2 linked regions of the Neurospora crassa OR74A genome follow. The protein of the gene in region 1 purifies or fractionates together with the protein of each later gene. This does not show direct contact. Links are inferred from orthologs where the notes say so. Each region holds a gene or a part of one and is shown on either strand. Other genes may lie near its edges.

Region 1 (4,292 bases):
TTGCACATTGGCCCTTCTGTTGTTCTACATAGTGTTACAATTAGAATAGGCTCAGGGTTCTCCACCTCTACGAAGGAGGAGCAGCAGTGCTTGATGTGCTCGCAGCACTCTGGGTAATCTCTGGCATCAACAACTTCTTCCTTGGGTTCTTGAGGTCCTCCACCGTGAGGCCATCCTCCAACTTGGTGATGCCAACCACTGGTGGGTCACCCTTCTTCACAAACTCGTACAGACCTATGACTTGTCAGTTTTCTACTCTTCTCAACCTCGCAAAGATTTTGGGCCAGCATGTGCTGTTATTACCTGGAAGCTTGTGTCCGGCCAAACGGAAGGCATCACGGATGACCTGTTCGTGCAATTGCCCCCTGATCTCGAAGATAATCTGGTTGACGGCAACTCTGGTCGCCCAGTGGTCGAACGAACCCTTACCCTTACCCATACGCATCTACACCGGAAATGCATGTGAGCCTCATGTCCGCTAACAGTCGGCATCCGGCCTTCCCGGGCTGTGGGTTGTTCAGCTGCTCACCTCGTTACCGCTGACGTACACACCGACGTTACAAGCAACGCGCTTGTACAGGCGGTACTTCTGACCACGCAACCTCTGCTTGATGGTGTCCTCGGCGAGCTTGAGCTGTTGGGCGCTAATTCTGCGGTGGTGATCGCGCATGCGCAGGCCGTAATCTCCCCAAACCACTGTTGTTCCTTTGGTCGAACCACCCGTCGGCACTCTGGGCCTTCCCTTCATCATCTTCTTCTTTCTGTTGAGGTTGGGCTCGAGCCACGAACCAGCCTGGATGGCGGTCGCAGAGAATAGGCGGACATGGGAGGCGACGGAAACGGGGGTCGGCGCAATGGGGCGACGGACGGCAGAGGTTGCGAGCGACGCGGCACGGAAGGGAGTCGCCGACGAGGATATCCTAAGGCCCTGGAAGGCGCTGAGGAGCGCCGAGGAAGCGTTGTGCTTCATTGTGTTGAAGGTTTGGGTGTGGACCGGACCGGGGAGGGGACGAGTGGTGGACGGAGGACGGAGGGAGGGTCCAATTGGATGCCGGTCGCCGACGACGATTGATACGGATTCCCCGAAGCAGCGCGCGCACAGAGACGGGGACCGGGCAGAGCGACTACCTGCAATGGAAGGTGCTGCGGGCGCGGACGGGGCACGGACGGCACTTCCAAAAATTGTGACCCACCAAAAAGTGTCGGGTGCCGGCCGCGACATGGAATCTGCCGGACACAGCAGACAAGCGGGACCTGGGACTCATTCATTGACTCCTCACAAGAAATACAGCTGCGTGGGCGTAGCTCAAGGCAGCAAGTTGGCGAATTCTTGTAGGACAAGGCCCCACCAGTCGCGACAGGGGAGCAGAGCCCGGACACAGACTCGCGTCATCCACTTCACCTTCGCGTCTCACTCATCATTCAATTGTTACTTCCGTCTTTACAAGGGACAAGAGTCGACCCGTTAGCTCTTTACCCTTCTAGGCCTTTTGTTCAACAACACTTGTTAGGCAGAAGGACAGCTGCCTGGACAACTCAGACACCAAGAACAAAAGTCCCTACTTCCCAACTCCGCCACTATAAGAAGATGCTTGCTGGTGTCATCTGATTGTTACATCTTCCCAACCTTTTGACACATTCAATTTATCATTTTGTATCCAGTGATTTCTTCTCACATACTCCATCATGCCTGCCGACATTCGCTCGTTTTTTGGTCCAAAAGGTGGCGCGCCGCCTGCTAAGCCGGCAACACCAGCACCCAAGAAGGAAGAGGAGAAGAAGACCCGGGGTAGTAAGCTTGAACCATGATCGCCATCACAAGCTTATCACGTTATATTAACAATCTTGTCGCAGGGCCAAGAAAGGTTGTTGAGGACAGCGAAGATGACGAGGTTGTTGAGTAAGCTTAGTGAAAAGCATCTCTTCTCAGAACTAGCATCTAACCAGCATGTGTAGAGTCAAAAAGCCAACCAAGGCTGCGCCAAAGAAGAAAGTAGCGTAAGTGTTTATGAAACACCTCTCAGTTCCATGTCATCCTATTCCTGCTGACAGACTATCTAGGGAACCCGTAAAAGGAGTTGAAACCGATGCTGCCAAGTACTTTGCAACCTCAAAAACAAAAACTGCTGCTGCGTCCCAGTCAACACCGAAAAAGACACCCGCAAAACCCGAGCCAGAAGAACCAAAAGTAGCGCTTCGAACAAGCCCGCGGAAGAAAGCCACCCCCGCTGCCAAAGCACCAGAGCCTCCCAAGACTACTACAAAGAAGACCTCGACTACGAAGAAACCCACGACGGCCTACAAGAGTTACGACAAGGATGACGATGGCGATGCCTACATGGATGATGAGCACGATGCTGGAGAGGACATATTTGCGGCGGAATTCAAGGGTGGCAGCAAGAGGAAAAAGGACGACGACTATGCCGAGGAGGACAGTGACGAGGAGCTCCTCCCCAAGCCCAAGCGAATGGCATCTCGCGCCAAAACAGCAGCCGTAGCCGAGTCTGACGACGAAGACGTCAAGCCTGGACCCAGCAAGCCGAACAAGAAATCTACAACTACTACGGCAGGGAAGCGGAAATCCTCGGTTGTTATAAGTGACGAGGAAGACGAAGAGGAAGAAGAAGTCAAGCCAGCGAAGAAGAAGGGAGCCCCCGCTAAGCCCCGTGCGCCAAGGGCAAAGAAGGATGCGGCGGTTGAAGAACCCGAGGACGTCAAGAAGATCCTCGACAATATTCCCACAATTGAAGCACCAGATGCTCCTCCCAAAGACCCCAACGTCAAGTTTGACTGGAAGACCAAGGCCGCCGGAGCTGGCAATGCGGGTCCACCCCCCATGGCGGGCACTGCCGACATTCCTGAAGGTGAAATTGATTGTCTGGCGGGTAAGACCTTTGTGTTCACCGGCCTGCTCAAGACTATCGCGCGTGAGGAAGCCCAAGCACTCGTCAAGCGCTATGGTGGCAAGGTCACAGGAGCGCCATCCAGCAAAACCGATTTCGTCGTTCTCGGCGACGATGCAGGACCCAGCAAGCTGAGGAAGATCAAAGAGCATGGGATCAAGACCATTGATGAGGAGGGCTTGTTTTACCTCATCAGGACGATGCCCGCCGGTGGTGGCACCGGAAAGGGGGCGGAGAAGGCCAAGCAGAAGCGGGAGGAGGAAGAGAAGAAGGTGCGTGAAGAGGCCGAGAGGCTAGATCGCGAAGAGAAGGCTCTGCGACTGGCGGCTGAGAAAGAGGCCAAGAAGGCCGCTGCTGCTCGCGGTGTTTCTGGTCCCGTCCCTGCTGCTCTGCCCCCACCGTCGTCACAGCTCTGGACAACAAAGTATGCCCCCACGGCGATGAACCAGATCTGCGGCAACAAAGCCAACGTGGAGAAGATACAGAACTGGCTTAAAAACTGGCCCAAGTCTAGAAAGTACAACTTCCAAAAGAGAGGCGCCGATGGTTCAGGTGGATACCGTGCTATTATCATCTCCGGTCCTCCTGGTATCGGCAAGACAACTGCGGCGCATCTTGCTGCCAAGATGGAAGGCTACGACGTGATCGAGAGCAACGCCAGTGACACTCGCAGCAAGAAACTCATCGAGAGCGGTGTTAGTGAGGTCATGACCAACACATCTCTTCTAGGTTTCTTTGGTGGAGATGGTAAGCATGCTGATGCCCGCAAGAAGAAGATTGTTCTCGTCATGGACGAGGTCGACGGTATGTCCGCTGGTGATCGCGGAGGTGTCGGTACTATGGCCAAATTCTGCAAGAAGACCGAGGTGCCGCTCATCTTGATTTGCAACGAGCGCAGATTGCCAAAGATGAAGCCTTTCGATCATGTCGCCTTTGACATCAAGTTTCAGCGTCCCACGGTCGACCAGATCCGCTCGCGTATCATGACCATCTGCCACAGAGAAGGTCTCAAGATCCCGCCACCGGTCGTCAATGCTCTCATCGAAGGTAGCGGTAGGGACATTCGGCAGATCATCAACATGATCTCTACAGCGAAGCTGGATCAGACCACCATGGATTTTGATCAAAGCAAGCAAATGAGCAAGGCCTGGGAAAAGCACGTCATCCTCAAGCCTTGGGATATTTGCCAGAAGCTGATCGGCGGTGGCATGTTCGCCCCTTCCAGCACGGCAACTCTGAATGACAAGATCGACCTCTACTTTAACGATCACGAATTCTCCTATCTCATGATCCAGGAGAACTACCTCCGTTCCAGGCCCATGGTCCTGAACCAAAAGGGCTACACTCCAAGGGAACAAAACCTTAAGTACCTCGAACTCGTCGACGAAG
Region 2 (3,543 bases), on another chromosome or scaffold:
GAAGTGGTCGATGAAGGAATTACTCTGGAGATTAAATGGCCGGGTAGCTGCCGACAAGGTAGTAAGGCCAAGTCTTCGTTATGCGGATGTTTTGTTGGAGGAATGATGAGTGATGGCTTAAGTTGTATTTTCTGTTTCCCATTCAGGTAGCAGTCGGTGGTTGAGGTGAGAAGTAGCGAGCGAGACGACAACACCAAGCTGAGTTCAGGCAAGAAGAGGAAGTGGTAAGGTTGAGTGCGGGGCAGGGCAGAGTTCAAACGAAAGGAACTGAGTGAATAAATCCAAGGCAAGCAAGCGATTGGTGCACTCAGTAATGCACAACGTACTATGTAAACTTGCAAGGTAGAGGTAGGTACTGTTGTGTGTAATTACAACCTTTCCAGCGTTGGTCAAACTTGTATTTGCTTTTTTGTTTTTTGCTTCTCAAAGCAATCAATGACAGTCTATCTCTACTTCGAGGTGGCAACCAAAGAACGAAGGATGAAAGCGTCTCTGACTACTTGTACGTGCCGTGTATATTATACGCTGCCGAAGGTATCCTCGTGCGTGCGTAATCAGCATCGATCAATATCAACGAAAGCAACATGGAGGGTTCCGTTTCCATTCATTCTTTTATTCCACATACCAGTTCAGGTACTTTTTAGTGTGAAGCAGTGTCAATCAGTCACATCCCGACAACTTGGGGCACCTGGTGGTGGGCTGCTACATACCATTTTCAAGGGTAGCCGCCCCGCATTTGCAAGTGCAAGATGCAGGTGGGTTGCAGCAACGAAATGCCAGAAGTGGAATACCGTACGAGACTGGAGCTTACAGTGCGATGCCTTACCACACGACAGGGCATAAACATGGAAGACGGAAGCGGGCAGGGTGATTGATATACCTGTTTGAGCTTTCATATGTCCCAGCGTTGACGACATCGGAGGTCCATGATTCGAACCCCGCATCCATTGTCACTACGTTGTAAAATCAACATGTGTGGTAAAACGGAAATGTATGATTTTCGGGAGAATACAGAAGCAAGTTGGAAAGAGGGAGCCCTGGATCCCCGGCTGCCCGGCTCCCCGGTCCCGTCTCCGTGTCCAGGGCAGTCCGCCTTGTTGTTGGACGTGGAGAAGCTCCAGGCACCGACGGGACAAAACCCAACATTCGGAGCTCTACCCAGGTAGCGGACGGCCCCGGGTGGGAGGGGGCTAGGAGCTAGGGTCTTGCGAGATCCACTTTAATTGAAGCGGCTCCACAAAAGGAAACGCGCCAGACGCGGTCTCTCTTCCTGTGATCGCGTAAAGTGCTGCTTGGAGTTCTACTTTACTATCACCATTCTATTACGAGCTCCCCTCAACAATAGATTGTTGCGACACCTTGATTGACGACAGCGAGACGCTCACCCAGTACCCACGTTCTCTCTTTTCTTGACATTCAGGAAAACGTACCCTTCGCAACTTTGCTGGCCAAGATCTATTCCTATCATGGCAAGCTTTTTCGACATTAAGGCCAGGAAGGCGGCCGCTGCAAATGGCACTCCAAACCCGGAAAAACAGACAAAGGAAACTCCCAGGGCGCAACCATGGGTAGAGAAATAGTATGTCATGCAAGGGTGGTCAAGTTCAATGCCGGCAGTTCAACCAGCTAACCTCTGACGACTTCCTCGACAGCCGTCCAAAGACCCTCAGTGATGTCACAGCCCAAGATCACACCATTACCGTCCTCCAAAGAACATTACAGGCTTCCAACGTTTGTCAAACCTGCTTATTTCCCCTTCGTGTCTCTCTCAAGTCAAATTTGGACAGCCACTGACCTGTGTCGTCAACCCTCCAGCTCCCACACATGCTCTTCTACGGCCCTCCAGGAACGGGCAAGACCTCGACCATCCTTGCTCTCGCCAAGGAGCTCTACGGCCCCGAACTCATCAAGTCCCGCGTCCTAGAGCTCAACGCCTCCGATGAGCGTGGTATCTCCATCGTCCGCGAAAAGGTCAAAGACTTTGCTCGCATGCAGCTTACCAATCCCTCCGCGGCTTACAAGGCGCGCTACCCATGTCCGCCCTTCAAGCTTATCATCCTCGACGAGGCCGACAGCATGACGCAAGACGCCCAGAGCGCACTGCGCCGCACTATGGAGACGTATTCGAAGATCACCCGCTTCTGTCTTATATGTAACTACGTCACTCGCATTATCGATCCGTTGGCGAGTCGTTGCAGCAAGTTTCGGTTCAAGAGCCTCGACCAGGGGAACGCCAAGAAGAGGCTGGAGGAGATTGCTCAGCTCGAGGGTGTCGGGCTAGAAGAGGGAGCTGTCGATGCGCTGATCAAGTGCAGCGAGGGCGATTTGAGAAAGGCGATTACGTATTTGCAGAGTGCGGCAAGGCTAGTTGGTGCCGTGGCAGCCACAGCTAAAGACGGGGAGCAAAAAGAAACCGAAGGCGACGACGAGATGGAAGTGGACGCCAAATTGGTTACGGTCAAGGTCGTGGAGGATATCGCTGGTGTTATCCCGGACGATACCATTCAGAGGTTACTCGAAGCGATGCGGCCCCGCGCTGGGGTGGATACGTACCCTGCGGTTGCCAAGGTGGTCGAGGAAATGGTGGCGGATGGTTGGAGCGCTGGGCAGACCATGACGCAGCTCTACCAGGCGGTGGTTTTCGACGAGATGATCCCGGATGTGCAGAAGAACAAGATTGTTATGGTGTTCTCGGAGGTGGATAAGAGGCTGGTGGACGGCGCAGACGAACATCTGTCCGTACTCGACCTGGCGCTACGGATATCGGGTATCATGGCTGGGAGGTAACGGCCAAAGCTTAAAGAGTCTGAAAGGGTACGACAGAAGCAGATGGTTCAAAGATAGGCGACATATCACTGGGTTCGGAGTTTCGGTTTGGGCAACAGAAAATGGCAGGTCATTTACATCGCACTACAAGGTCATATTTTGGTGTTTCTAGTCCTAGACTTCTTTCTTGACAAATGCTTGACAATGGTCTTTTATCCCTGGCACCTCGCCCACCAGTTGTGTTCCGAGGTGTCTCCCGTCGCAACACACGATAGTTATGGCTGCCTCTACCCAGACTTCTCTAGTCCTACATGCACATCCACCATATTCCACATGCTCAAGCTCCCTCCCTCACGGTGACCAATTGTCTCCTTCCCCTTCCTGCCTCCCTCATCGTATCTCGTCCCAAGTCCCGATCCACCAGTTGCATTTGTGATTTTCAGCGATTTCTGCCCTTCGACAAGCCATATGTCAGATTCCTCGCCCACCTCATCATCATCGCCATCATTATCATCATCATTACCCTCCTCCTCTCCGCAAGCCGCTTTAACCGGCTGCTGTCGTTGCTGCTGCTGCTGCTGCTGCAACCCACGTCCCAACAACCGATCAGCCTCGCCTAGCATGCGAATTGCTCCCTCCAGCGCTATCTGCCCTTTCTCAATTTTCTCCACTACCACCTCAAAAGTTGCGATCTTGGCCGAGTCGGCAGCTGATACCCACGGGTTGACTAGACGCGATGACATCATGGCGTTGGGGTCATCGTCCTGTTTCTTCTTC

What was found. The genes of interacting proteins can lie anywhere in the genome.
Region 2: the proteins of NCU06767 (region 1) and NCU02687 purify together in Saccharomyces cerevisiae (co-purification; 7 studies listed by BioGRID, with this or other methods). This does not show direct contact. The link is inferred for Neurospora crassa OR74A from reciprocal best matches to the Saccharomyces cerevisiae genes RFC1 and RFC2.

The regions. Positions count from the first base shown.
Region 1 is NC_026502.1:2,003,995-2,008,286, forward strand, and holds the start of NCU06767 (replication factor C subunit 1), read left to right. Parts: upstream 1-1,405; 5' UTR 1,406-1,686; coding exon 1,687-1,792; intron 1,793-1,854; coding exon 1,855-1,900; intron 1,901-1,956; coding exon 1,957-1,998; intron 1,999-2,061; coding exon 2,062-4,292. Other genes in the region: NCU06768 (mitochondrial 54S ribosomal protein YmL47), read right to left, coding at 68-234, 304-445, 530-970. UniProt on the Saccharomyces cerevisiae protein: Component of the ATP-dependent clamp loader RFC complex for the POL30/PCNA homotrimer DNA clamp.
Region 2 is NC_026501.1:3,203,426-3,206,968, reverse strand, and holds NCU02687 (activator 1 41 kDa subunit), read left to right. Parts: upstream 1-1,291; 5' UTR 1,292-1,466; coding exon 1,467-1,579; intron 1,580-1,652; coding exon 1,653-1,731; intron 1,732-1,815; coding exon 1,816-2,787; 3' UTR 2,788-2,988; downstream 2,989-3,543. Other genes in the region: NCU02686 (hypothetical protein), read right to left, coding at 3,054-3,543. UniProt on the Saccharomyces cerevisiae protein: Component of ATP-dependent clamp loader (RFC and RFC-like) complexes for DNA clamps, such as the POL30/PCNA homotrimer and the checkpoint clamp DDC1:MEC3:RAD17 complex.